Linked DNA regions of Rattus norvegicus. The protein of the gene in region 1 purifies or fractionates together with the protein of each later gene. This does not show direct contact. Links are inferred from orthologs where the notes say so. Each region holds a gene or a part of one and is shown in the gene's direction. Other genes may lie near its edges.

Evidence for each region.
Region 2: the proteins of Trim21 (region 1) and Irf3 purify together in Homo sapiens (affinity purification with western blotting; 3 studies listed by BioGRID, with this or other methods). This does not show direct contact. The link is inferred for Rattus norvegicus from reciprocal best matches to the Homo sapiens genes TRIM21 and IRF3.
Region 3: the proteins of Trim21 (region 1) and Fasn purify together in Homo sapiens (affinity purification with western blotting; 3 studies listed by BioGRID, with this or other methods). This does not show direct contact. The link is inferred for Rattus norvegicus from reciprocal best matches to the Homo sapiens genes TRIM21 and FASN.
Region 4: the proteins of Trim21 (region 1) and G3bp1 purify together in Homo sapiens (affinity purification with mass spectrometry; 3 studies listed by BioGRID, with this or other methods). This does not show direct contact. The link is inferred for Rattus norvegicus from reciprocal best matches to the Homo sapiens genes TRIM21 and G3BP1.
Region 5: the proteins of Trim21 (region 1) and Anxa2 purify together in Homo sapiens (affinity purification with western blotting; 3 studies listed by BioGRID, with this or other methods). This does not show direct contact. The link is inferred for Rattus norvegicus from reciprocal best matches to the Homo sapiens genes TRIM21 and ANXA2.
Region 6: the proteins of Trim21 (region 1) and Gmps purify together in Homo sapiens (affinity purification with western blotting; 3 studies listed by BioGRID). This does not show direct contact. The link is inferred for Rattus norvegicus from reciprocal best matches to the Homo sapiens genes TRIM21 and GMPS.

The regions. Positions count from the first base shown.
Region 1 is NC_086019.1:166,385,432-166,390,159, reverse strand, and holds part of Trim21 (E3 ubiquitin-protein ligase TRIM21), read left to right. Parts: intron 1-162; coding exon 163-258; coding exon of another isoform or gene 259-285; intron 286-1,135; coding exon 1,136-1,366; intron 1,367-2,978; coding exon 2,979-3,001; intron 3,002-4,728. UniProt on the Homo sapiens protein: E3 ubiquitin-protein ligase whose activity is dependent on E2 enzymes, UBE2D1, UBE2D2, UBE2E1 and UBE2E2.
Region 2 is NC_086019.1:104,615,068-104,620,281, forward strand, and holds the start of Irf3 (interferon regulatory factor 3), read left to right. Parts: upstream 1-1,540; 5' UTR 1,541-1,642; intron 1,643-1,944; exon of another isoform or gene 1,945-1,982; coding exon of another isoform or gene 1,983-2,083; intron 2,084-2,318; exon of another isoform or gene 2,319-2,371; coding exon of another isoform or gene 2,372-2,405; coding exon 2,406-2,570; intron 2,571-3,729; coding exon 3,730-3,901; intron 3,902-3,992; coding exon 3,993-4,066; intron 4,067-4,217; coding exon 4,218-4,392; intron 4,393-4,495; coding exon 4,496-4,876; intron 4,877-5,214. Other genes in the region: Bcl2l12 (bcl-2-like protein 12), read right to left, coding at 190-332, 517-623.
Region 3 is NC_086028.1:106,577,766-106,582,493, reverse strand, and holds part of Fasn (fatty acid synthase), read left to right. Parts: coding exon 1-112; intron 113-617; coding exon 618-712; intron 713-920; coding exon 921-1,055; intron 1,056-1,132; coding exon 1,133-1,336; intron 1,337-1,441; coding exon 1,442-1,557; intron 1,558-1,739; coding exon 1,740-1,912; intron 1,913-1,983; coding exon 1,984-2,175; intron 2,176-2,249; coding exon 2,250-2,330; intron 2,331-2,422; coding exon 2,423-2,602; intron 2,603-2,758; coding exon 2,759-2,938; intron 2,939-3,011; coding exon 3,012-3,215; intron 3,216-3,476; coding exon 3,477-3,763; intron 3,764-4,155; coding exon 4,156-4,542; intron 4,543-4,624; coding exon 4,625-4,728. UniProt on the Homo sapiens protein: Fatty acid synthetase is a multifunctional enzyme that catalyzes the de novo biosynthesis of long-chain saturated fatty acids starting from acetyl-CoA and malonyl-CoA in the presence of NADPH.
Region 4 is NC_086028.1:40,114,557-40,119,284, forward strand, and holds part of G3bp1 (ras GTPase-activating protein-binding protein 1), read left to right. Parts: intron 1-162; coding exon 163-272; intron 273-1,103; coding exon 1,104-1,313; 3' UTR 1,314-4,728. UniProt on the Homo sapiens protein: Protein involved in various processes, such as stress granule formation and innate immunity. Plays an essential role in stress granule formation.
Region 5 is NC_086026.1:79,016,662-79,020,830, forward strand, and holds part of Anxa2 (annexin A2), read left to right. Parts: intron 1-542; coding exon 543-602; intron 603-1,767; coding exon 1,768-1,861; intron 1,862-2,805; coding exon 2,806-2,901; intron 2,902-3,337; coding exon 3,338-3,396; intron 3,397-4,169. UniProt on the Homo sapiens protein: Calcium-regulated membrane-binding protein whose affinity for calcium is greatly enhanced by anionic phospholipids. It binds two calcium ions with high affinity. May be involved in heat-stress response.
Region 6 is NC_086020.1:150,620,605-150,625,332, forward strand, and holds part of Gmps (GMP synthase [glutamine-hydrolyzing]), read left to right. Parts: intron 1-923; coding exon 924-1,029; intron 1,030-2,697; coding exon 2,698-2,813; intron 2,814-4,728. UniProt on the Homo sapiens protein: Catalyzes the conversion of xanthine monophosphate (XMP) to GMP in the presence of glutamine and ATP through an adenyl-XMP intermediate.

The DNA.
Region 1 (4,728 bases):
TTCTTGTGGCTTCCTGGTGAATTAGAAATGCAATGGCCCAGATCCCCTTACCCCATTGGCCTAGCTCTGTTTTTGTAAGACATACTAGGTTTCTTCCAAAGTCTTTCCAGCTTCGTCCTCCACATCTTTAGCTGGGGACTAACCTGCTATCTTTTTCTACAGGAGAAGATTCACAAGGCTTTAGAAAAACTGAGAAAAGGGAAAGAGTTGGCCGAGAAGTTGGAAATGGATCTTGCAATGCAAAGAACAGACTGGAAGGCAAGAACTGTAGACTGCATCTCTCAGGTCTTGACATTAAGCAAGTCTTAACCATGACTGTGCCTACCCAAGGGATGGTAGAGTTATTATACAGGTCACTCTCCATGAAGCATCTGCACTCTTTGTCTCCAGATAGAGAGGAAATGAAAGGAAGGAAGGAAGATGGGAGAGGGAAAGAAGGATGGAAGAGAGGGAGGGAGGGAGGGAGGGAGGGAGGGAGGGAGGGAAGGAGGAAGGAAGGGAGGGAGGAAGGGAGGGAAGAAGCTTAAAATTAGATGAGATTTCCACCAGTCTGGCACAAAGATCAAGAATTACTGGAGGAAGTGTAAGGTCACATCATTCCTTCTCAGGGGACAACAGAGTCAACAGTGGGTTCTTGGATCTGAGGTAGGAAGTCCACCTGACCTGGTGGCTGCTTGTTGGTGACCAGAGTATTAGTCCGAAGCCTGATAGAGAACTAAAACCTGTCCCACTGAGAATTTGCTGGTAGGAAATGAAATACATCTGAAATTGGCAAGGAATGTGAGGGGCTTACAGCCAATCACAGACCCCAAATGAGTAGCAAAGACTCGACTCTCCAAGATGGCAAAGAATGTTTTCCTGGGGCCGCTGTTTTCCACCCAGGGCCTAGAAAGATAGCAACACTGGGTATGGGGACAGATTTACACTCTATTACTTGCTGAGATAGAAATACAAAGGGACTCACATGGGCATTAGTGGCTTTTGGAAGAAAGGTTGAGTATCTAGTGACGGAAGCATGTGTGGGTGAGGGTGGCGGTTTGAGTGTGGGTGGGTGTTGAGGGGACAGAAACACCTTCACCACCAAAGCCTAGGAAATTTTGATTGTGAAACTCTTGTCTTTCCCTTGCCACCACAGAGGAACATTGACACCCAGAAGTCGAGGATTCACGAAGAGTTCGCACATCAGAATAGCTTGCTGGCTCAGGAGGAACAGAGGCAGCTGCAGAGGCTGGAGAAGGATGAAAGGGAGCACCTGAGACTCCTTGGGGAGAAGGAGGCTGAGCTGGCTGAGAAGAACCAGGCCCTGCAGGAACTGATCTCAGAGCTGGAGAGGAGGAGCCGAGGTTCAGAACTGGAGCTATTGAAGGTGCGATCCCTACGCAGGCGCAAGGAATAACTAGGAAAAGGCCAGCACTGTCTGGAACCGCTCTTAAAAAGGAAGTGCTGCCTTAATTTTTAGGATATTTTTAAATAAGCTGAAATGTGAACACTCAAGTGGCTTCCATTACAGAATAGCAGGGTACAAACACAAGAGAAAGTATTCCATATAGCAACCAGTAGATAGCTATTCCTAGGAGATGCCCACCACAGCAGGTGTCAGGAGTGGGAATCATGTCACCAGGATGCATAGTATCACATATCTTAAGTGATATTTTTAAAAAGAAATAAATGAGAAAATTCATTCGAGTTCTTAGACAAATAGCCATAGAATGTTTATAAAAGTTCAGTATATAAAACCGAAGTATGCCGTTTCTCTCCAAAGTGATAGCTCATGGGAATAAACTGTTTTTCTTTTCTATACTGTTTCTCCATTTATGAAGCCACAGAGGGAGTAGGATCCACAAGGATGCCCTTAACCCAAGCATAGCTGTTGCATAACTACCTATATGATTTTTAACATATAGGATTCTGCAAAAAGTCTCGCTCTTTTCCCAAAGTAAATTTAAAATATTTTTCCCAAAGCATAGGAACTAAAAGATCATGTATTGGTACTACTATTCTCTCTTCTGATTTTTCCCATACGGATAGTAAGTGCAGGTTCCTCAAGAGCACACCAGTGACTTACCAGGGCTCAGGGTAGTGCTGCTGGGATCCCATTCCACAGAAGAGAAAACATTAATGGACATAGTGGGAGATTCACAGTAACTTACATCAGCTTGTCTAAGTAGTAAGAGGCAGAAATTAAGACAACAGATTACTTTTTAAAGTCATTCATACTCTAAAACCATCTTTCATCCATCCTTGGTATGGATGTTAGCCTGGTGTTGGAACATTATAGACCAGATGATCTCTAGGTATCTTTTCTCATACCTCTGTCACTGTCCCTCAGTCAGATGTGTACAGACATTTCTTTCTACTTTGTACAGAAAAGCTGGTCATATAGGTTTGACTTGGCAGGCTTTCTCCTCCTGTCATAGAACTGAGCTCCCTGGTGTCTTTTTCCTGATCCTAGGAGACTGCCAGTTCAAACACTATGGCTGCCACTCCCTGGGAATGAATATTCTCACTTGAGCTCACTGTAAATAGTAGAGAGGATTAGCCATAGCACAGGACAAAGCTTTTAACCAACTAGCCCTTCCTCCACAAACAACTCAAGCCCAGAAATAGCAAGGAGCCTCTCTGGACATCTACCTCAGCCATTTTCTGCTTGAAACTGGGCTTCAGTCAGGTCGTGTTGTTTATTTTCCTCTTCTACTGTCTCCTTGGACAGCCCCATCCTCCAGGAGCCTACATCAGTCTCTAGATCCCTGGTCATATCCTAGCTAAAGGCCATAGGCATGTTGGCTTCCTAGATACTCTGTTAGCCATCACATGTCATTTCTCCTTGTCAGAGTCATCCTTAGGGCCTTAGCCCAAGGCGATGGTGCAGAACAGAGCCCAAAGGATACACGGTCAATGATGTCACATGACCCCAGGAGTGGCATCTCAGTAGTCAATCAGAAACTCCAGAATTGACTGTCTGTCTCTTCTCTCCTCAGGAGGTGAGGATCGTCCTGGAAAGGTAAGGAGAGGTTTCCACAGAACAGGAAGCAAGTGTGCATAGAAATGGCTATTGAGTTAGGCGTACATGCACTGGGGTTTGCCTCATGCATCCCTATTCTCAAAACCTGGTCCTCTCTGAAACGTTCTCTACCCTCAAATGTCTAATGGACATCCCACTTGATGAATTGCCCAATGTAGTTAATGAATGTCATCTTCATACATTAAAAGTATGAAAGTAACGGGTAATCTGACTCTGCTGCGACTCTCATATGGGAAGATTCATAAGTAATGAGTGAAACCTACAGCATGGCCAAGATTGCTCCAACTTCTTCTCAGAAGTGACCTATTAAACAGACCGGGTAAACAGTTCTCTGCACCCAAATCCCGTGGGAGGGAGAGCTAAACCTTCAGAGAGGCAGACAAGCCTGGGAAACCAGAAGAGACTGCTCTCTGTACATACATCTCGGACGCCAGAGGAAAACACCAAAGGCCATCTGGAACCCTGGTGCACTGAAGCTCCCAGAAGGGGCGGCACAGGTATTCCTGGTTGCTGCCACCGCAGAGAGCCCGTGGGCAGCACCCCACGAGCGAACTTGAGCCTCGGGACCACAGGTAAGACCAAATTTTCTGCTGCAAGAAAGCTGCCTGGTGAACTCAAGACACAGGCCCACAGGAACAGCTGAAGACCTGTAGAGAGGAAAAACTACACGCCCGAAAGCAGAACACTCTGTCCCCATAACTGACTGAAAGAGAGGAAAACAGGTCTACAGCACTCCTGACACACAGGCTTATAGGACAGTCTAGCCACTTTCAGAAATAGCAGAACAAAGTAACACTAGAGATAATCTGATGGCGAGAGGCAAGCGCAGGAACCCAAGCAACAGAAACCAAGACTACTTGGCATCATCGGAGCCCAATTCTCCCACCAAAACAAACATGGAATATCCAAACACACCAGAAAAGAAAGATCTAGTTTCAAAATCATATTTGATCATGATGCTGGAGGACTTCAAGAAAGACGTGAAGAACTCCCTTAGGGAAACACAGGAAAACATTAATAAACAAGTAGAAGCCTACAGAGAGGAATCGCAAAAATCCCTGAAAGAATTCCAGGAAAACACAAACAGTTGAAGGAATTAAAAATGGAAATAGAAGCAATCAAGAAAGAACACATGGAAACAACCCTGGATATAGAAAACCAAAAGAAGAGACAAGGAGCTGTAGATACAAGCTTCACCAACAGAATACAAGACATGGAAGAAAGAATCTCAGGAGCAGAAGATTCCATAGAAATCATTGACTCAACTGTCAAAGATAATGTAAAGCGGAAAAAGCTACTGGTCCAAAACATACAGGAAATCCAGGACTCAATGAGAAGATCAAATCTAAGGATAATAGGTATAGAAGAGAGTGAAGACTCCCAGCTCAAAGGACCAGTAAATATCTTCAACAAAATTATAGAAGAAAACTTCCCTAACCTAAAAAAAGAGATACCCATAGGCATACAAGAAGCCTACAGAACTCCAAATAGATTGGACCAGAAAAGAAACACCTCCCGTCACATAATAGTCAAAACACCAAACGCACAAAATAAAAAAAGAATATTAAAAGCAGTAAGGGAAAAAGGTCAAGTAACATATAAAGGCAGACCTATCAGAATCACACCAGACTTCTCGCCAGAAACTATGAAGGCCAGAAGATCCTGGACTGATGTCATACAGACCCTAAGAGAACACAAATGCCAGC
Region 2 (5,214 bases), about 62 Mb from region 1:
AGTCCCAGGATACCTCCCATCCAGGCAGAAACACTTACCCCCTAGAAAGAAGTGTAACAAAGAACTGAAATGGCTATGGCCGGCACTGAAGCTGAGCAGTGTTGACTTTATAATGGGTACTGTCTGGATTCTTCAGGACCAAGGCTGCTAGCCTCCAAATTTCACAAGTGATCTGAAGAAATCTCTTACCAGGCTCTGAACCATAGCAGGGACGGAGGGGAAGGAAGCAGGGCCTAGAGGACTCAGGGGGAGGAGCTTCTCGCCCCAGGGGACAAGGGAGGCATCTTCGGAGTCGGCTCAGGAAATCTGTTGTCTCTTCTTGGGCAGGGCTCCTAGGGGCAAGAACCTCAGAGTTATCCCAGAGGGTTCTGAGCAAACAATCCCTTCGTCCTCTCGTGGAAGATTCTTGAAGCTTGGGACAGACATATGGGGTTAGGTATGAAGGGAGTAGACCACTAGACTCAGGAAGATCTTCTGATCAAAGGCTGGCCCTGGGGGAGTGGAATAGTATCTCACCTGGGTGGAGTTGGGACAGGGGACCCAGCAGTTTCACCGCGCCTAAGGAAGGCAGTCAGAACCTTCAGTGTGTCCTCTTGGAGACCCAACTCTTCAGAGCCGGCCATGGAGGTACCTGAAGCAGAAGACAGAGAATGTACCCAAATGGAGTGATAACTCAAACTTCATTCAATCACTGAATGAAGAGGACACCTTACTCCAAGGAAAAGGTGGCTTAAGGGCCAGTGGGGCAGTTGATTCCGTTGAGGAGAAAGGGCCTGAATTATTGAATCTAAGAAAGGACGTAGGGGTTGGGGATTTAGCTCAGTGGTAGAGCGCTTGCCTAGCAAGCGCAAGGCCCTGGGTTCGGTCCCCAGCTCCGAAAAAAAAGAAAAAAAAAAAGAAAGAAAGAAAGAAAGGACGTAACTGAGTGCTTGGACTCTTACATGCAGGAGCAGGAAGGGAGCCCTGAGTGCTGAAGGAGTCTCGAAGACCCTAGAGAATAGGGAACTACTAATCCTAGTACGCTTTGCGGCAAACGCTAGCCGGGTTTCCCCTCTTTTTCACCGAGCAGCCTGCTGGGAGATGTAGTTCCAATGACCTCTGGCGGGCACCAGGAGACCTCCGTGCTTGGAAGTCAGAGAGACAGGACTGGCTGTGACCTCTCCTGCAACCTAGCTCCCTCCCTGGTACCCCGCTCACCTGGATCGGGGTTCTGCCTCAGTCGTACTGGCGCACACACGCTTTCACTCAATTTCTACAAACTTTACTTCCGAAGTTCAACTTTCCCGCGCCTGCGCACTGGGCCGACACGGTAACCGCCCCAACGTCGAGGGGGCGGAGCGCTGTGTTGCATCATTTGCATATGGCGTTCCCAGCATGCCTGTAGGCGGAAGGCCAAAAAAGGGCATTGAGGGAGTTAGGCCGGTTCAGTCGGAGTGTGCTCCTAGGTTTTCTGACTTTTCTTAAAGTAAATGATGAGAAATTTTTTTTTTATCTCAAAATACCATTAGAAAGGAAAGTCCCAACGCTCGGAAGCTTAGTTGACAAAGAAGGGGGTTGCGTGGCTGCGAGTCTCAACTACTGTTTGGGAGCCCCAAAACCAGTGCTGACACCCGCGCCCCACGAGCGCGCAATTCCTCCCCTGGTAGGTAACGCGGAAGAACCGGGAGGGTGGCGGCCTCAGGGCACAGGAGCTCGGCTACCGAAAACCAGAATGGTTACGCGTTGTAGACGGAAGCCTGCAGTCTCAGCATCCAGACTGGAGGCAGTAAAGATTGCTGCAAGTTCGAGGCCAGTGAGCTCCAGGCCAGGCTGAACCACAGAATGAGCTCCAAACCAGCATGGGTTAAGCGAGTTGAAGACCAGCCTGAGCTACTGAATAAGTTTGAGGGTAGCTTGGGTTACAGAGTGCATTCGAGGCCAGCCTGGGCCACACAGTGAGTTGAAGACCAATCATGGCTACATAGCAAGTTCGAGGACAGCCTATGCTCCATACTAAGACCCTGTCTCAAAACATCCATAAAAACAATGTAGAAAAGACAAAGCAGAAGAAGCGACAGCAGCTGGGAGAAGACTCTGGAAATGAGTAAGGGTTTTCTGCAAGGGTGAGGTGGGTGTGAGAACAGTCATGATTCTTTAAAGACAGGGAAAGAGGACTCCACCCTGGAAATGGGGTACTTGCTTTGAGTAATAGGGGTTTACATTTAGAAAAGGGAAAGAACCTATGGAAAACTGTGGGGTAGGATAGGCGGTCCCGTTGGAATTGGAAAGGTGGGAAGGAGTTTCCCGTTTGTACACAGGAAAACAGGGTGAAGGAAGGCCTGTGCTGTATCGGGTCGGAGAGGTTTGAGTGCATTTGCCCCTTGACATACAGGCTCAGGAACTGCACTGTATGCGCAGGCTGGATCATGGGAACCCCGAAACCGCTGATTTTGCCTTGGCTGGTGTCTCAGCTGGACCTGGGACAGCTGAAAGGTGTGGCCTGGCTGGACGAGAGCCGTACAAAGTTCAGGATCCCATGGAAGCATGGCTTACGACAGGACGCACAGATGGCTGACTTTGGCATCTTCCAGGTGCTGGGGGGGAGGGGGCGGGGGGGGGCGTTGAGACTTCAGAGGCATTTATGGGCGTGACTAGACAGGGCTGGGTCTTGCTAATTAGGTGGGATAGACTTGGAGGGACAGCCCGGAATTGATTGGCAGATTCCAGGAATAGAATTCTGAAAGCCAGGTTGTGTCTCTAAAAAACTGTTCTGGAGCAATGGTTCTCAATCTGTGGGACGCAACCCCTTTGGGGGTTGAACGGGCCTTTCATTGGAAAACAGATATTCACATTAAGATTTATAACAGCTGGGGTTGGGATTTAGCTCAGTGGTAGAGCGCTTGCCTAGCAGGAGCAAGGCCCTAGCAAGGCCCTGGGTTCGGTCCCCAGCTCCGGAAAAAAAAAAAAAAAAAAAAGATTTATAACAGCAAAATTACAGTTTTGAAGTAGCAATGAAAAAAATTTGGGGCTGGGGACTCACTACATCATGAGGATCTGTATTCGGATAGTTGAGAACAGCTCTTTTATTAGAGGATGGGAAATCTCGGGGGGGGGGTGGGCTCTTGATTTTAGATCCCTTAAATCTTAAGAATTGGAACAGCCCTCAGGATGGGGTTATTAGCTACCAGATCAGCATGGTAGTAACAGAATGTGGGGTGAGGTACCAAGTAGGTCCTAGAATACTGGCTTAAAAAACAAAAGGCTTGGGTTGGAGAGATGGCTCAGCGGTTGGGAGCACTGACTGCTCTTCCAGAGGTCCTGAGTTCAGATCCCAGCAACCACATGGTGTCTCACAACCATCTGTAATGAGATCTGATGCCCTTTTCTGGCACATCTGAGGACAGCTACGTGTACTCGTCTATAATAAATAAACCTAAAAAAAAAAAACAAACCAAAATCAAAAGGCTTGAAGGTGGATGTGTGGCATACGTTTGTAATCCCAGCACTCTGGAAGTGGCAGCTAGAGGGTCGAAACTTGGAGCCTACCTTTGTTATAATGTGTGAGACCCTGTCTCATATTCAAAAATATTTTTCTAAAGTGTGGAAAATATAGATAAGGATGAGGTCGGGACAGAAGTCCTAGGGGCTCTATGAATGTGAGAACTTAGGTCAGGAACCAGAAATGTATGGAATATGGTGGGAGGTGTCTAAGTAGTCTTCCCTACTGTCCTGGAATCACTGATGTATCAGGCCTGGGCGGAAGCCAGTGGTGCCTACACCCCAGGGAAGGATAAGCCAGACCTGTCAACCTGGAAGAGGAATTTCCGGTCAGCCCTGAACCGGAAAGAAGTGTTGCGATTAGCTGAGGACCGGAGCAAGGACCCTTTTGACCCTCATAAAGTGTATGAGTTTGTGACTCCAGGTGTGTGTAACAAGGCTGGCTTGGGGGTCACAGGAACCGTGGGGTCTGGAAGATCTCTGCCACTTACTCTGCTCACTTCCACTCTGGACAGGAGGAGCAAGGGACTTTGTACATCTGGACACCTCCCCTGACACCAATGGCAAAAGCAGTCTGTCTGATCACCAGGTGAGGAGACACTAGTCTTGTGCCCAGCCTTGCCCCATCCATTAGGCCTCACCTTCTTCCCACCCCAGCCCTTACCCCTGGACCTCCATTCCCACCAATCTGCTACCCTCTGGCTCAGCTGAAGCTGTTGACTAGCTCCTTCCTCCTCCAGGAAGACCTCTTGGAATTACTCGATCACATGGCCTTGGGACCCCTCCCAGATGAGGGGTCCTCAGACCTGCCTATTGCTTCTGATCCTTCTCAACCACCACTAAGCCCCATTGTAAACAACTTCCCAAACCCAGCACCCCAGGAAAACCCACTAAGGCAGCTGCTAGCTGAGGAACGTGAGTGCCTGCTGTGGGGTAGGAAGGGCTGCAGCAGGGACTGTGGTCCTTACCTGGTCCTCTTCATCTCTCCCCTCCCCTCTTCATCTACCCCGGTACTCAGAGTGGGAGTTCGAGGTGACTGCCTTCTACCGAGGCCGCCAGGTCTTCCAGCAGACACTCTTTTGCCCCGGGGGCCTGCGGCTGGTGGGCAGCACGTCTGACAACGGGACACTGCCCTGGCAGCCAGTCACCCTGCCAGACCCTGAGGAGTTTCTGACAGACAGGCTTGTGAGGGAGTATGTGAGGCAGGTACTCAAGGGGCTGGGCAAGGGGCTGGTGCTGTGGCGGGCAGGGCAGTGCCTCTGGGCCCAGCGCCTAGGCCACTCGCATTCCTTCTGGGCCCTGGGTGAGGAGCTGCTTCCAGACAGTGGGAGAGGGCCTGATGGAGAGGTCCCCAAGGACAAGAACGGAGTCGTGTTCGACCTCAGGCCCTTTGTGGCAGGTGAGTACCCTGTGCGAATTGACAGCTATGGTGGTTGGTTGAATTCAGAGCATGCTACTAAGCTTTGTGGCAAAGACAGGCCTGTACCCACCAAGTCCAGGAACCGGCTGCTGTAACTGTGACCTAATGTAGTACAGGCTCAACATATAGAAGATACTCTGGTGTATACAGATCTCAGTGTCTACAGAACCGAGGTGCAGCAGGGGCTTGGCTCAGCTGCTAGTACCCCTGCAATTTACAAGAAGAGTAAGTCCCTCTGGTCCCGCTGTCCATCGGTTCTATGGTGTAATGAGCCCAGCACCACCTCCAGTTATTCCCACAGCCAGAATCCACAAGAG
Region 3 (4,728 bases), on another chromosome or scaffold:
TGTGGCTATGCAGATGGCTGTCTCTCCCAGAGAGAGGCTGTGCTTGCAGCCTACTGGAGAGGCCAGTGCATTAAGGATGCCAACCTTCCGGCTGGATCCATGGCAGCTGTTGGTAGGTATCCTCTCAAGGGCCCCCGACCTCATTAGGCACCAGGATCTTCTTGGAAGGGGTTTCTGTCCTGGGTCCTCCAAAAGAATCAGTTGCTTTGTTGTGAGACATGGGGTTGCAAAGGGAGAAGTCACTCTGCTCAGATTATCTTTATAGGAGGCTTCAGTTCTGACCCCACAGGCCCGAGCAAGGTATGAAACACCATACACATCAGATGAGGGTTCCAGGAGCTGAGGAGAGCCACTTACCAACCCTAGGTGTTCATCGCCCAGCTTCTCAGCTGCTTACCCCCTACACCACTTAGGTGTCATTTCTGAGGTCCGGCTCCTTTCCTACACTCCCTCCATAATGACACCTCTCTTGAGATCAGAAACAGCAGGGAGGGAGTAAAGGTGCCCTGGAAGGTCGACTCTTAGCATCCCAACACCATTGGCTCTAAGTAGTGCTCATGGTCCAGGAGGATGGGCTGAGTTCGGGCCAGCTCTGAGGCCAGCCTCTCTGCTTATAGGTTTGTCCTGGGAAGAATGTAAACAACGCTGCCCTCCTGGTGTGGTGCCTGCCTGCCACAACTCTGAGGACACTGTGACCATCTCTGGACCTCAGGTAGGCCCTGCAATCATAGCAGGACTTCTGTTCCCTGCAATTTTGCCCTGGCCCTGCCTAGGAGGCAAGGCCTCCTCAGTCTGTGTCCACCAAGTTCTGAAGGGCCCAGCTGGTGAGCTACACTTGTCGCAGGCCCTCTGGGTGGACTGTGTCCCTGACCAGGGAAAGCCAGTCCAGGCCCCCTGACCACTGGCCTTGATGCCTGCAGGCTGCAGTGAATGAATTTGTGGAGCAGCTAAAGCAAGAGGGCGTGTTTGCCAAGGAGGTGCGAACAGGTGGCCTGGCCTTCCACTCCTACTTCATGGAAGGAATTGCCCCCACGCTGCTGCAGGCTCTCAAGAAGGTGAGTACCTGGCCATGTGCTTGGACCCCAGGGCACGGTGACTTGACCTCACTCGCTAACCAAGCGTCTGTGTGCAGGTGATCCGGGAGCCACGGCCACGCTCAGCACGCTGGCTCAGCACCTCTATCCCTGAGGCCCAGTGGCAGAGCAGCCTGGCCCGCACATCTTCTGCTGAGTACAACGTCAACAACCTGGTGAGCCCTGTGCTCTTCCAGGAAGCACTGTGGCACGTCCCCGAGCACGCCGTGGTGCTGGAGATTGCACCCCATGCACTGTTGCAGGTGAGCACTGGTCCGCCTGGGATGGGGCACATCAGCCTGCCAGTCACTGGCGAAGGCGAGTGGCACGGAAGGGGTCGGAGCCTAGCTCTCCTTTGCTATGTGTAGGCTGTCCTGAAGCGAGGCGTGAAGCCTAGCTGCACCATCATCCCCTTGATGAAGAGGGACCATAAAGATAACTTGGAGTTCTTCCTCACCAACCTCGGCAAGGTGCACCTCACAGGGTAGGTCTCCCTTCTGTCTGCTGCTCGTGTGCAGGCCCACACCAACCCCCATGAGAGGGGTTGCTGTGGCCTAGCTCAGTGCTGGCCCTCGGTCCTCATCTTGGCCATCTTGGGGTCTTAGAGCAAAAGTAGGGCCACAGACTCTCAGGGACAGGTGTGTCACTTAACTTGTTTGTCACCAGCATCGACATCAACCCTAATGCCTTGTTCCCACCTGTGGAATTCCCGGTTCCCCGAGGGACTCCTCTCATCTCCCCTCACATCAAGTGGGACCACAGTCAGACTTGGGATATCCCAGTTGCTGAAGACTTCCCCAACGGTTCCAGCTCCTCCTCAGCTACAGTCTACAACATTGGTGAGCCAGGCTCCGTGGTCAGTGGGTTCCTCCCAGGCCTGTGGGCCCGTGCTGAGGCATTGTCCTTACAGACGCCAGTTCCGAGTCATCTGACCACTACCTGGTCGACCACTGCATTGACGGCCGTGTCCTCTTCCCTGGCACTGGCTACCTGTACCTGGTGTGGAAGACACTGGCTCGAAGCCTGAGCTTGTCCCTAGAAGAGACCCCTGTGGTGTTTGAGAACGTGACATTTCATCAGGCCACCATCCTGCCCAGGACAGGTAAGAGGCCCTTCAGTGGGGGCTGGTGAGGTGGTTGTGACTACTCCGCTCTGACCTTCTTTTTTTCTCTGCAGGAACCGTGCCTCTGGAGGTGCGGCTGCTAGAGGCCTCACATGCATTTGAGGTGTCTGACAGTGGCAACCTGATAGTGAGCGGTGAGTAGTACCTGGCTGGGCCTGTGTGGCTGAGGACCTCAGCTCCTAGCCTGCCCCATGCTCAGACCCTCCTGTTGCCCTGCCTCCTACAGGGAAAGTGTACCAGTGGGAAGACCCTGACTCCAAGTTATTCGACCACCCAGAAGTCCCGATCCCCGCCGAGTCCGAGTCTGTCTCCCGCTTGACGCAGGGAGAAGTATACAAGGAGCTGCGGCTACGTGGCTATGACTATGGCCCTCATTTCCAGGGCGTCTATGAGGCCACCCTCGAAGGTGGGCAGGAGCAATCCCCGAGTCAGTGAGCATGATGACCAGGAGCCATTGTCACTCCTGGGCCATGTCTTGCTGGGGGTCAGGGAAGACGGAGGAAGGGAGTAGAGGCCCTGGAGCAGGTGAGGCCTCGTGTGCTGAGCAGCCCCCCTACTGCAGGTGAGCAAGGCAAGCTGCTCTGGAAAGACAACTGGGTGACCTTCATGGACACAATGCTGCAGATATCCATCCTGGGCTTCAGCAAGCAGAGTCTGCAGCTACCCACCCGTGTGACTGCCATCTATATTGACCCTGCAACCCACCTGCAGAAGGTGTACATGCTGGAGGGAGACACTCAAGGTAGCTCTGGCCCTCGCTCTGTCCACTTGTCCTGGACTGAGCATTGCCTACACTGACCAGTGTGTCTCCATAGTGGCTGACGTGACCACGAGCCGCTGTCTGGGCGTGACCGTCTCTGGTGGTGTCTACATTTCGAGACTACAGACAACAGCAACCTCACGGCGGCAGCAGGAACAGCTGGTCCCCACCCTGGAGAAGTTTGTCTTCACACCCCATGTGGAGCCTGAGTGCCTGTCTGAGAGTGCTATCCTGCAGAAAGAGCTGCAGCTGTGCAAGGGTGAGGATCCAAACCTTCCCTCTTCTTCCTCAGTCTTTGCCTTTGAAACTCCTGAGGCAAGGCCTGGATGGCGGGGAGCTCAGGGTTGGTGAGAGCACAGCCTACCTTCCATGGGTAGCACGGCACTGCTGCATCCTTCCTATTGAGTTTCCGCTCTTCCCATTGCTGTGGGCTTGTCCTGTGGACACGCTAGGAAGCAGGCCCTGGCAGTAGGCTGGAGGCCGTAGAGAGAGAACGTAGGCCTTTCTTTGTCCCTCCCAGGTCTGGCAAAGGCTCTGCAGACCAAGGCCACCCAGCAAGGGCTGAAGATGACAGTGCCTGGGCTAGAGGACCTTCCCCAGCATGGACTGCCTCGACTCTTGGCTGCTGCCTGCCAGCTGCAGCTCAACGGGAACCTGCAACTGGAGTTAGGTGAGGTACTGGCTCGAGAGAGGCTCCTGCTGCCAGAAGACCCTCTGATCAGTGGCCTCCTTAACTCCCAGGCCCTCAAGGCCTGCATAGACACAGCCCTGGAGAACTTGTCTACTCTCAAGATGAAGGTGGTGGAGGTGAGTGCTGGGAAGGTAGACAGGCCATGTGCGTGGATCCAGGGCAATCTCAGACCCGAGCCCAAGGCAGGCAGCCATGATGTAGCAGCTTTCTATGGCCTTTGTGCTTTGGTTTGTTCCACCCTAAAAGATTGTGGGGAACTTTTCACTGCTACCAGTCCAGGGGATGAGATATCAGAAGGAAGGCTTCTGGGAAAGAATCCTGGGATGCTCTGAGCTCTAGCCTGGGATGTCGCAGACAGTCTCCACAGGAGAGTAGAGGAGAACACTGGAAGAGCCTCCCGGCCAGCATTGCCACAAAACTGAGCATGAGCAGCACGGAGAGGCTCACCCAGGCCCCAGGGTTTTCTGCCTCCTAGAAACAACAGATCTAAGATGCTCTCCCACACCAGGTGCTGGCTGGAGAAGGCCACTTGTATTCCCACATCTCAGCACTGCTCAACACCCAGCCTATGCTGCAACTGGAGTATACAGCCACCGACCGGCACCCCCAGGCCCTGAAGGATGTTCAGACCAAGCTGCAGCAGCATGATGTAGCACAGGGCCAGTGGGACCCTTCTGGTCCTGCTCCTACCAACCTGGGTGCTCTTGACCTTGTGGTGTGCAACTGTGCGTTAGCCACCCTGGGGGATCCAGCCCTGGCCCTGGACAACATGGTAGCTGCCCTCAAGGATGGTGGTTTCCTGCTAATGCACACAGTGCTCAAAGGACATGCCCTTGGGGAGACCCTGGCCTGCCTCCCTTCTGAGGTGCAGCCTGGGCCCAGCTTCTTAAGCCAGGTACTGCTCCTGGGCATGCAGGGCAGGTAAGGGCTGGGTATGGTTCCGCCAGTTCAGTACTTACAAGACTTCATACACATAGGAAGAGTGGGAGAGCCTGTTCTCAAGGAAGGCACTGCACCTGGTGGGCCTTAAAAAGTCATTCTACGGTACTGCGCTGTTCCTGTGCCGCCGTCTCAGCCCACA
Region 4 (4,728 bases), on another chromosome or scaffold:
TGGTCTCAGTTATAAGTATTCATCTAAGGAGCACTTGAACTATATTTTGCATTTTAATATGACATTCTAATAATCAGTTGCATTAAGTTCGTGGCTAATCTCTGTCTGGTGTAAACCATGCTGGGTGTCTGCAGAGAAGTCACCGGTGCTTTGCCCTTGCAGGTTATGGGAATGTTGTGGAGCTGCGCATCAACAGTGGTGGGAAGTTACCCAACTTCGGTTTCGTTGTGTTTGATGACTCGGAACCAGTTCAGAAGGTCCTTAATAACAGGGTAAGCAAAGTGTGTGTGTGCGTGTGCATGCGTGTGTGTGTGTGTGTGTGTGTGTGTGTGTGTGTGTGTGTTTGTGTGTGAGAGAGAGAGAGAGGGAGAGAGGGAGAGAGAGATGTCTGGTTTTTGCTTGCTTGCTTTCGTGCACACGTGCGTGCTAGGTGTGTGCAGTGCCTTTAGGGGTATGGAGAGTGGGAACACGCCCTGGAAGCGGAGTTACCTATTTTGATAACTCCAAGGCTTCTGGCCATTGAGGCTCACCTCCTCGAAGTTGTGCTTGCAGGAGGCAGATGGTTCAGGTGCCTTCTGCCCTCTCTCCATCTCACTGTGCTATACTCCCTTCAGTCTGTGTCTGTCTGTGGGGGGTGGGGTTTTAGCACTGGCTTGCTGAATGTCACTGTGTGATCATACACTAGTGTAGCTGAGTGTCATTTTCCAGCTAGAAGGCCAGGCCTTACTTTCTCACCCCTAAATTGCAGGACTCTAGGAATTTTATTTAAGTCAGTTTAATGATGATTTGCTTACGAGGTACCAATATTTTGCATAAGTGTGTGAGAAGGTTTTATTCTCAAGCTGTGGAGGCGTCCATATCAGGGTGTTTACTGGAGTGTGCCTTAGTTATTAGTACAATGGTGCTCTGCTTCAGGACTCTTTAAATTGGTGCTTTTCTACTTCTTGGCACTAGTAACACAAAAGATGTTTTATGAGCTCAACACATTGGTGACAACGGACTAGTTGGTTGAAAGCCTTGCTCAGTAGGGTGGCTTTGTTCACTTTTGACCGGCACAGTCAGGGGCTGATCTGAGTGTTTGCTTTCCCTTGGTTCTCACACAGCCCATCATGTTCCGAGGTGCGGTTCGCCTGAATGTGGAAGAGAAGAAGACTCGAGCTGCCAGGGAAGGCGACCGCAGGGATAACCGCCTTCGGGGACCTGGAGGCCCCCGTGGTGGGCCGAGTGGTGGGATGAGAGGCCCTCCCCGTGGAGGCATGGTGCAGAAACCAGGCTTTGGCGTGGGCAGGGGGATTACAACTCCAAGGCAGTGAATTGCTTGGCTCAGATCTCCACACAGCACACAGCCCCGGCTCCTGCAGAATGGTGAATTCCTTCAACCAGCCTTTGGTGTCTTGGAGTAGTCTATTATAAACTGCTTGAGTTTGTACAATTTTAATTTCGCTTGTGTTCATGGTGTGTGCTCCCCAAACCCCTTTCCTCCCTTGACCTTTTAGTCCTTCATTCCCAGTTTTCCGGAATGATACTTTAGGAGGAATAGATTTGTAAAGACGAAGAGGAAAGACTGACCTTCCTGCTCACGCTGCATACACAGACTGGAGTCTCACGGCCATTCCCCAGAAGTGTCTCGGTTTCACTGACCACGGATGTTTCATTTGTTGGGAGACACAGGATTTGATAAACATTTTGGAAGCGGGAAAAATCAAGTCACAACTCCTTTCTGGTGTGGAAAAATTGCCTTTTGGCAACTGCCACTGGGTCCCTGCAGGTGTGGCTAACTGAATAAAAGGTGTTCTTTTGACATGTGATTACCAAACAATTCTAAACCTCCATTTTTACCATTGGATTTTTAAATTGTGATGTAGCCTGTCAATGTCTAGAACACAGCTAAAGACTTTTGTTGAACTGTTAGATTTTTTTGAGGTAGAGTTTTTCATGTTTTATTTGTATTTGTAAAAAAAAAAAAAGAAAAAAAAAGAAAAAAGAAAAAAGGACAAAAAATTCCCACGAGAAAACAAACCCCAAATCTGATGACAAAACCAAGCAACACTGTGCCTTCTATTTATCGTTGACTCCGGCCCTGGCAACTGTTTAAAGGAAAGTAATAAAGATTCCAGAGTTGTTTTCAGATTCAGAGTATGTGGGGGAACTGCACAAGTTTTTTGATCACGTGTATGTGTCGTGTTAACATTGTTCTGCCTTATCCTAAATCACGCCTCAGACTGGGATGCTTTTGAGGAAAGGTGCTTCTGTGAGGCCTCTGACCTCAGTGGCTCTGTGCGCCACACTCTACTCTGCTGTCTGTCTGGGTTCCTGGTGGGCCATAAGAAGGATTTGGTTGAATATTGGACTTGGCTAATGTGCTCCAGGGTCTGCATTTTTTTTCTTTAAATCATAGCCATATGGTAAATTTTCTATTTTGTTACGGTTCTCTTTTACTGATGGACATGCAGTGGGTGTTTCTTGGAAAAAGGCCAATTTTTATTAAAATATTTCTGGAAGAAAACTTCATCTGGCAATGTAGACTGCTAAAACTCACTTTCCAGTGTTGTGTGTTGAGTGCTGTGTGTGACATTGGGTGAAGGTTTTGTCCGCACAAGCCTCCATGGACAAGTCATTAGTCTGAAGGCAACCAGAGTGTCTAACTTTTCCTAATGTTTGTGTGTATGTCTATGTATATGTGTATGTCTATGTATGTGTGTATGTATATGTATGTGGGAGTCTTCATACATGCGTGCACCACAGTATGCTTGTGGAAGTCAGGGCAACTTGGGATCTAGGCCTTATACTCCACTGTTTGAAATTGGCCCATGAGCCACAAGCTTCTATGGGCTCCTGTTTGTGCCTCTCATCTTGCTGTAAGGGCACAAGGATTTCAGACATGTGCTGCCATGCCTGTCTTCCCTGTGGCTTCTGGGAATTAGTCAGGTCTTCATACTTACACATAGTGCTCAGCCAGCTCGTCTGACTTTAGAGCTGTCACATATGTATGCTGGTTTTGTTAGGGTAGTTGGGATGAAAATGGTGTGAGGTTGTCAGGTTTGGTCTCAATACCTCACAGATCTAAATGTTGACAGCATGTTGTGAACTGAGGTAACCAAATCCCACGACTGGGGGTTCAGTTTAAGCACTTCATTTGAGGTGGTGACGATGCAGATGTGTGCAGCATGTACTTTGTAGTAAAGTGTATGGTTACAAGGACAACTGAGCCAGGCTTGGTGACTCATGATGATAACCCCAGCACTCAGGAGGCAAAAGCATGGTCTGTGAAGCAAGTTCCACCAAGGTTGCATAGTGTGACTTTCAAGAAACAAGGCAAAAGGGCAGCAAAGAAAAGTCCCAAGTGGCACACAATGGCACAGGCTTGCCTGTGTAGTCTCAGATCTCCGGTTCAAGGCTAGTCTGGCCCATATAATAGTCTCTTAAAAGTTTCAGTAACTTGGGTAAATCTAAAAATGATTTTCACAATTGAGTACTAAGACATGCATTTAGAAGTTTTTTCCTAGTCACCTGATTAGGTGATTGACATTTGCTGTACAGAGTAAGGTGTCATGGCAGCATCCCTCATTTCTCTGGAGACCAAGGGTATCAGAGTGATCTGGATTGATCTGAGAAAGAGCAACCTGTGGGTGGGTTGGGATATGAGAAGCCCATTCTCTTCTACCTCAGATAAGTGTGTAGCAGTACAACCGCGCGCGTGTGTGTGTGTGTGTGTGTGTGTGTGTGTGTGTGGTGTGTAGGGATGTAGCAGTACCCCTATTGCTTGTGACTGGGGTTGGGGAACTGCTTCAGCCCTACCCTATTTCCCAGCAGTGGCACTGGGGATCAGAGTGTGCTTTGGAAGGGCATGGGTCTCAGCTTGGCAGCCCGTTTTGCACTGGAGAATCTGGATGCCAATGACACCACGTGAAGCCTAAACCTTGGAGCTTAAGAGGTGCTCATGGTTACAGAAAGCACAGGCTATTTCAGAAGTGGCTGCTGATGTCAGCCTTCTCATGTCAAGATTTGATCTGCAGGGAAGACTCAGGATGTCGTTCTTTGTTATTGAGCTTAACTAGGATCCGTGATGGGTATTTTAGCCAAGTGAGACTTTATGTATGTGTACATGTCTATGTGGATGTTGGCCACATGTGCAGGTGCCTCAGAACACCTATGGCCCCTTGGAGCTGGAGTTACAGGTGAGTGAGCCCTCCCACATAGGAGCTGGGAATCGAACTTAAAGTCCTGGAAGAGCAGCAGGGTACTCTTAGGCATGAGTCTCTGTTCAGACCTATTGGAAGTAAGTAACCAGACCTTGACCAGACCTTTCATTTGCTTTCCTTGTGAGGTGGCACTCCTGTGCTCTGCAGTCTCAGCTGCTGCTTTGGAACAGGGACAGTGACAGTTGGAGAGTTGCAATCAGGGCCTGTGGCACACGCTTAATCCTGGTGCTCAGGAGACTGAGGTGAGGATTGTGAATTCAAAACCAGCCTTGATTACAAAGCAAAGCCCACTTTTGTTTACAGCAAAACAAGTGAGCCCACTTAGCTTTCATGTGTGCCTTGGATTATGGCACAGTAATAAAGGGAAGAGATGGTGGGAAGCAGTTGAGCGAACAGGGCTTTCAGGAGCAGGCGGGGCTTCGGGCAGTACCTACAGTATTGAGCCAGGAGCCCGGTTCCTGTGAGTGCCTGTGAGCTGGATGTCTAGGGTGGAATTTCCACCTCTCAGACCACTTGGGGTGCCATT
Region 5 (4,169 bases), on another chromosome or scaffold:
CCTTCCTCTTCATCACTGTAATTCTGTCCTTCTGCTCTGTGATGGCTCGGGGTGGTGTATCACTCACCTGTAAGCCTGTTCTACTTCTGCCTGTGTGTGCAGAGTGCCCCCGCCCGCCCTGCTGGCCCCTGAGGGTTCAGCTCCGGCCCTATCCCAGCCCTCCTGGGCTCAGCTAACTAACTGTTTACTACACTAGCCTTTCCCTTCATTTGCATACTGTATCCTGGTGGCCCCCTTGCCATGTGTTTCACCGTTATACACAGTTTAAGGGAAGAGACTTAAATGGGCTCAGCTTCTCTGGGGCAAGTCAGGGAATTCGGTAAGATGCTTACTGGGGCTTGGGTCCCCAGGGTTGGCCCACAATGATCAGACATGGTGTAGCCACTTCCCTCCCTGACCATCTCTCTCTCCTTGTGAAAAACTGGCCGTAGTATCTGCTCAGGAATGAGGCTATGATTCACCTGGGTTAGAGAGGAAACACCTCCAGCTTTAGAATGCACTAAGAGCTAGGTCTGAGGGTCCTTCTTGTTTTTCCCCTACAGGGTAAACGGGCAGAGGATGGTTCTGTTATTGACTACGAGCTGATTGACCAGGATGCCCGGGTAAGTTCCAAGCTTCTTGGCTGAGTTTTACGTGGCGTGTGTATCTGGAGGGGGTTGTATCCCACACAACCATTTACTTATATACAACGAATGACCTCAAGCTAACATTTGTTATCTCTCGGATTCTCCAGGTCAGGGATGGAGACTGGATTGACCAGATAATTCTGGCTCAAGGCCTCTCATGTGGTTGTAGATAAGATGTTGGCTAGGGCTATAATTACTGAGCGCATGACCAGGTCAAAGGGAATCTTCCCTACATGGCTCATGTGTGACTTACTTTTGGCAAGAGATGTTAGCATACCTCCACACAGGCCTCCACAGACTGCTTGAATGTCCCCAACAACATTGCCCCTGGCTTCCCTAGAGTGAGTGACCCAAGAGGGATCCAGAAACCCTCATGCTCTCATGACTCAGTCGCAAGTGTCATACACTCTTGTCATACTCTGACCATTAGAAGTGAGTCCATGAGTCCAGCCCACAGCTGTGGGAGGGGTAAAACTAAGTAATGTCCTTTCCAAGGGAGAAATGGGCCTTTTAAAGCCTCAGCCCATCTGAACATAGAGCTTTGTCTCCAGGAACCATGTTTGTAATGCTGGGGTTAATTATCAGATCTGTACCCAGGTCCCATTGGCTCATTCAGGCTTTGATTGCATAGAAGTGCTAGGTCCTGACCTTAAACTCTTAGGGAAGCTGGAGCAGATGGGGTAGGCACACCAGGAGAGGAAGGCTCCCTGCTCCACTCAGTGAGGACAGAGGAAGATGACAGGGGCCTGTGACCTCCTCATAAAGCTATTTTAGATAACTGCGAACGAGGCGTGCCTCACTCAAAGGGGTCGGCGGCTCTGTTATCTCAAAGCAAGTCATAAGAGCGGCAGACAAAATCATGTGCCTCTGTTTTAAAATCTTATATAGTCTGGGGAGTGCATCGAGTGTAAGAGAAAGGCTTTTTAATAAATGCTAGAAGTGGGCTTTGTGGCCTAGGGAGATAGCTTAGTGTGGCCCCGGGAAGCCAAAAGTTTGAGCACACCTGCTCTATGTGGTACACGATGGGTCCCAGCTGCAGCACAGGCCTGTGCGCTCACATGTTTCTGGGAACGGGCTTTTGAGTAACGCCTGCTAGGGGGTTGTGTGGTTAACTTCTCCTGGTTGGTTGCATCTCTCACAGGAGCTCTATGATGCTGGGGTGAAGAGGAAAGGAACCGATGTCCCCAAGTGGATCAGCATCATGACTGAGCGCAGTGTGTGCCACCTCCAGAAAGGTGGGTGCTGTGCCAGCGGGGTCTCAGTGCCTGGAGGCTCTCAGGTGGCAAAGGCTGCAGTGAGGTGCAGAGCTCCCAGAGCAAGGCTCGTTCTCCACTCACTCTTTCAGTTTCCTTTATCAAACCATTTGGCCTCCTTTCTCACTGTGGACCCTCCGTCCCCAAATGTGTTCAATATTTGATATGTTAGCTTGTTTCACTGTGTGTGTGTGTGTGTGTGTGCGCGCGCGTGTGCGCGCGCGTGCGTGTGCGCGCATGTTCATATGAGTGCACATGTGTTTGGAGTGCATGTGGGAGCCAAGGTTAACCTTCGGTGTCGTACCTTTGAAACCATTGACCCCGGGTGGTTGTTTTGGTTTTTAGACTCATTGGCCTTGAGTTCAAACACTAGGCTAGGCAGCCTGGACAGACAGCTGCCACCCATCTGCCTCAGCCTTCTCAGCACTGGGATTACAAGCACACACCATCATGCTTGGCTTGTTTGTTTTTGTTTGTTTTGAAACATGGGTTTTGGGTTTGGGGGGCTAAACACGGACCTCAGGCCGTTTCCATGGCCCTTCCTAATTCCCCTCCTTACCTGAGGATCCTTTGCTCTCGCCATGATTATTGAAGTTCAGGACATGACCCCTGGCTCTATCCTGTTTCCCATGACATCCACGTAGATGGAGTCCAGTCAGGGCACAGAGGGATGGTTAAACTCTGTGGCCTAGGCAGAGCCATTAAGGATAGGAGCTAGACCTGGGTCATCTGGCAAGACAGGTACAAATCATCTCTAGTCCACCAAGGTGACCTCCAGCCCCTAAATGACTGCCAGCCCCTGGGATGCGTGGGGATCACCTTTAGGTGTTGGGTTCTTGTTTTCGTTGCTGCTGCTGCTGTCTGGTTGTATAGGCTGTCCGTGCGGCTCCGACCGGCACTTCTGACATCATTTGTCCTTCTCTTAGTGTTCGAAAGGTACAAGAGCTACAGTCCTTATGACATGCTGGAGAGCATCAGGAAAGAGGTCAAAGGAGACCTGGAGAACGCCTTCCTGAACCTGGGTGAGCAAGGGTGGCCTTTCCTTGCCGGCAGAGAGGGCAGAGACAGGAGTGAATGGCTATGTGTTTCCTTCAATGGGGACTTGGGAGGTGTGGTGACTTTCTGCAAGTCTCGGAGAGCTTTAGGATTGTCTGCAGATTTAAAGACATGAAACAGGCTTAAGTTGCCAGGAAGGACTAAGTTGCTGGAGAAGAGAGGGCTATAATGGGGACACTCATATATACACTGGGGCATCACTGACCTCTGCATCTCATGATTGAAGAGACCACAGTGGGTAGAACCTACTGGTTCACGAGATTCTGAGTTTTCCTTGGTCTTCTACATCCTGGATCCATGGGGCAGGCCCATTCTGGTCAGTGTCTTAGGGCCAGGGCATCATCTTCCTTCATGCATGGCAGGAAAGCAGCCTCACCCCTGACCTGTGTCTCCTTTCCACAGTTCAGTGCATTCAGAACAAGCCCCTGTACTTTGCTGACCGGCTGTATGACTCCATGAAGGTAAGGGCTGCTGGTCCAGATGTTCCATTTCCACTAGGCTCCTCCTCTGTCTTGGCTCAAACTGAATCTTCTTGACTAGTGTTTAGAACAGTGGCTCTCAACCTTCCTGACGCTGTGGCCCTTTAATACAGTTCCTCATGTTGTGGTGACCCCCAACCGTAAGATTATTTTGTTGCTACTTCAGAACTGGACTTTTGCAACTGTGATGAATTGTAATATAAATAAATGACATACAGGATATCTGGTATGCTACCCCAAAGGGGTTGAGCCCCACAGGTTGATAACCACTGGTTTAGAGGATGGGTTCCCGCTAGCTGGCTGAGATTGGATTTGACGGGCGAGAAAGCACCACTCCGTCTTCTCTCGGCTGGTTAAATATGTATGATGCATCTTCAGAATAAGATGTCACTGGTGGGAAAGGGTTAGGTGACAGCGGCGTCTGATTCCTGCTGGGGGTTTCAGTGATGGCTTCCTACTATTCCGAGGATAAAAACAAACAGGATGGGAGTGACCATCAGCGGGTACTATATGACAGCTTTTCAGTTCCCTCCCCTGGAGACCATGCAGGGCTCCCATTTTTATCTTCTTGATAAAGAAGGAAGGCAGAGCTCCTGGAGCCAAGGCCAGCTTGCTGTCACATAGCAGGTGCACAGCTGGGGGCTCTTCCTGCCTGAACCGCCCCAGACCAGCCTGTTTCTTGTTCTTGTCCTGTCAGGACTGTTCTACTTTCCAGGCCCTTGCTTTCCTCTCTGGAGCACCTCCCTTGTCCATGC
Region 6 (4,728 bases), on another chromosome or scaffold:
GACTGTTCATACTCTTTCTTTGCTCATATACTCAGTTTTAATTTGATAGCAGTTAGAATTATTTTTTTCTTGGGACTGGCAAAAAGATTCTGCAGTTAAGAGAACTTGGCTGCTTTCTGAGGACTGGAGTTCAATTCCTAGCACCTACAAGGCAGCTCACCATCCTCTGTAACTTCAGTTCCAGGGTTCTGAAAGGCAGACAACTGTTACATATATAGACAAACTGCCTGTGCACATGAAATAAATACATGTTATTTACTTCTTACTGTTTTGTGACTTATCCTTTTATTTTTTGATACTATTTAGAAAAATTTTATTTGTTTTGTTGTTGTTGTTGTTTTAAATACAGGCATTCTGTATAGACCAGGCTAGACCTAGAGCTTACAGAAATCTGGCTGCCTTTGCATCCCACTGCTAGGGTTAAAGGTGTGTACCACCTTACCCAGCTCATTTGGACTCATTAATGTGAACATTATTTCAATTGCCTTTCTTGTATCCTGTGAAAAGTAGATGAGATATGATGGGTCTTATCGTTTTATTTTTAAAGATTTTAATTTATGTGTTTGATTGTTTTGTCTTCATGGATGTCTGTGCATTTTGTGTGTGCCTGGTGCCAGTGGAGGTTAGAAAGAGGGTATTGGATCCCTTAGAACTGACTGTGTGTGTAAGACCCTTAGACTTGTGTGTGTGCTGAGTATTGATGCTGCATCCTCTAGAAGAGAGAGTTCTTAAAAGTGAGCCATCTCTCCAGCATTGGAATTTGTTTTTCTTATAAAACTTGTAAGGATTATACTGTCTTCAACAAAGATTATGAGTGCTACTCAATAATAATCTAATTTCCTTCTAAGCCTCATAGGTGAAAATATCTTAAATAATAGTCTAATCTTTTAATTGGTCCCCCCCCCCCTTTTTTTTTCTTATAGGGGAAAGTAATAGAACCTCTGAAAGATTTTCATAAAGATGAAGTTAGGATTTTAGGCAGAGAGCTTGACCTGCCAGAAGAATTGGTTTCCAGGCATCCTTTTCCAGGTAAAAACACACTTGGGTTTTGTTTGTTGGTGGACTGTCATATGGATTCAGTTCAGACCATTCTGAATGGTTTGTCTTCTTAGGGACTGTGTAACATCAAAGAAGGTAGAGAATGACAGGGAACACATTCTTAGAAGTGTCTCCTGTATTTACACCATATGTGAATCATTCTCTTTTTTGTTTGTATTTAGGTACTATATAATTCCTGGGAGTCTAGCATATAGCATTGTTTCCAGATGGGGATGTGAATCATAGAGATATTTTAATTACATTTCTACATAGTTCTTAGTTATAGATCTAGGATTTTTATACCATGAGTACTATGTACTTTACCATTTATACCATGAGTATTCGTGTATTCCATGGGAAAAAAAATAAATCTTTGTTTTTTCCTCTTCTGTTTTTAAAGATCGCGTCTTTTAAAAAATGGTTCTCTTAAAAAATAGTGATATCCCTCTCACTCCCACCTCCAGGTTGCCTTGGATGCTCTGGGTTCATGCATTCGAGGCCTGCCTGGTCTACATTCCAGGACAGCCAGAGCTCTGCAAAAAAAGCCTGTCTCAGAAAACAAACAAACAAACCAAAAACAAACCAAATAACAAAACCCCCAAACCCTGGGTGCTTATTTTAAAACTAGTAATGAGACTGAGAACAACTAATGGAATATGAGTTTCATTTTGCATGTAGACACCTCAAGGGGTTTTTTTTTTCCCCATACTATAGTAAAGCAACAGGTCTTGTGCATGCCTTTTATTCTTTTTTAGTCTTGTGTGAGATTTGTTTTGTTTGCATGTGTTTCTGTCTGCATGTGTGTGTTCACCATGGGCATGCCAGATGCCTAATGAAGTCAAAAGAGAGGGCATCAGAGCCCCTGAGATACATGGTGCTGGCAACTGAAACCTAGTACTCTCAACTACTGAGGAGTCTCTGTACCCTGCTGTTTATTTATTTACTTGCTTGCTTACTTACTTAGTTACTTTATGACTATTACGTATTTGGTAAATAAAAGTGCTGGTTCACAAGTTTGTATTAAACAATATTTTTACTTTTATATTTCAATTTTAAACAGGCTGTGAGATGTATGTTCGTTATATGTTTTTATATTCATGTATGGTAGAGAATTCCTTCAATTAAGAGATTTTCAGTAAATTACCATATATAGTATGAATTAAAATATTTTTATGAGAATATATAGATTAGTCAATTTGGATGGGAAATTAATACATATATACTTGAAATTAAATATCTTGTGTTCATTTGTTTTAGTTTTAGATTGAACCTCATGTCTTTGTACATACTTAAGATTGGCTCTACCAAAAAGCTACATTTTTGGCCTTGAAAGTTAGAGTGCTAGGATTCAGTGGTAGACTATTTGCTAGCATGCACGATGCCCTGTATTTGAACCCTAACACTTTTAAATAAAAAGAAGAAAACAAAACACCATGTGATAATAGTTAGATCCTAATTTTATAAGGGTTTTATGTTTTAGAGATCGTATCAGTTTTCTATTAAAATTGAAATTATAGGGCTGGGGATTTAGCTCAGTGGTAGAGCGCTTACCTAGGAAGCGCAAGGCCCTGGGTTCGGTCCCCAGCTCCGAAAAAAAAAGAACCAAAAAAAAAAAAAATTGAAATTATAGATTTTATATTCAAAATTGTTGTTCTTTAGGTCCTGGCCTGGCAATCAGAGTAATATGTGCTGAAGAACCTTATATTTGTAAAGACTTTCCTGAAACCAACAATATTTTGAAAATAGTAGCTGATTTTTCTGCAAGTGTTAAGAAGGTAATAAATTATTTGACATCTAGTCAGTACATTGGACAAAATAGATTGCTGTTATATTCTTGTTTTAAAATGAACTTATTTATTTTGTGTTTGAAAATTCAGAACAATATTTACTTGGAGTGACTATGTAGAAATCATAACACAGAGACTACTTGGTAGATCTGTCTGGATAAGCAAATAAGACTACCTATCCCCTGTCCAGAAAAGCTACATCAGATGCTCTTTCATAGGTACTGAAAGAAAGTAAGTCATGAGTGAAGTAGAAGTGTCGATTTAAGAAGGCTGTGTGCTCCCCTGAAGACAGCATTCCACTAGTTCCATTTGAGCAGAAACTGTCCAAATAGGAGACCTTGGGGCCATGAAGTGTCTGTAATTAGATCACAGTTTTTCTTAGTAATACTTTAGGTATAAATTGAGAATGTATAGCAGTTTCCCAGTCCCTCAGATGTGAGGTGTTAACTCATAATCTATGTGATTGAAAATAGCAAGTTAGTTTCATTTGAGGTCCACCTGGATTGGTACTGTTTCTAAGTAGTCAGGCAAGTTCTACACAGGTTCTCTATAATCTTCACCCTGTTTCCCAAAGAATTCCCAGAGTTTCAAAACAGTAAGAGCTTACAAAGAACAGAACACAGCCATATGACCCACTAAGTTATAAATAACTAGCAGAGCATCCTCAGTGACCCTGCATACTGTAGTTTGCTAATAAAATATGAGGAAGTAAAGTAGGAGAAGCTATTAACAGTATTGTTTTATGATACTTAAAAACTGAGATAGTTGAATTCTAGAACTGTTAGCAACTGAAATTAACATATGAAGAAAGGATTCAAGGATAGAGAAGAGTGTGAAGAGTGGAGGGAAGGAAACTGCAGTCAGGATGAGAGAGGAATTAAAAATCAGAACAACTCAAGGTGCTCCGGGAGATGACTGGTGCATGCCCAGTTGTTTTAAAAACTAAAGCAAGTATTCAAATAAAGGCATTTCTAAATAAGTGCATTTACTACCAACAACCCTTGGCTTGAGGAATTTAAGGCAGTATTTTTTCATAATGGTTTGAAGTAAACTGGGAGGGTAATTTTTTGTTCTTTTTATTATTTTTTTTTAAAAAATAAACTTTATTAGAAAAAACTTGTAAGCCTCCTCCTCTCGGTGAACTGTATAATTAGAATAACCATTCTAAGGTTATAAAGTTTCACGTTGGATTTTACACTTTCACTATTGAATATATTTTAATTCCGCTATCTAATACTAAAACTGAAGTCTAAGACAAGTAGGAAAACAATTAATTTTACATCTTTTGATTATTCATGTCCATTACCTACATTCAGTTCTTCCTCATCTCCTAGTATTTAGCCTTTCTTGTAGCAAACACTACAAGAGAGGCTAAATATAAATAGTAATTGGTTTTTGAGACAGTCATGGCCCTCTACCTCCTTTTCCTTAGTGCTAGGACTCTGGGTGTGCGCTACGTCTGGCTGTAAGGGGGCCTTTGATACTTGCCCATTTCTAGAATTCCTGCCTTTGGTAGTCTTGAATAAAGCACTGGCTTTAGGAAAAGCTGTGAGACAGACTTAGCTCTACAAGGGATTGGTAAGCAAATAAAGTTATAAATGAGTAAGACTGACCTAAACATAGACTGCACAAAATAGTTAATGACAACAATATTACTATTTGAGAACTAACAAAATGTAAAGCATTAAAAATGATTGTTTTGCCAAAAGGACAAAAAGGTTTAGATGAATGAGTTGGGAGGATCACCAGTTTACAGAGCAAAAGTTGCAAGATAAAAGGGGGAAGGTGATGACACAAAATGCACAAAAGGTGGCAGGAAAGTCAACATCTCAGTGTATATAAATTTAATTTATATTTCTTACTCCACAGATGAATTTCTGCTGTAGTATAGCGCATAGCATAT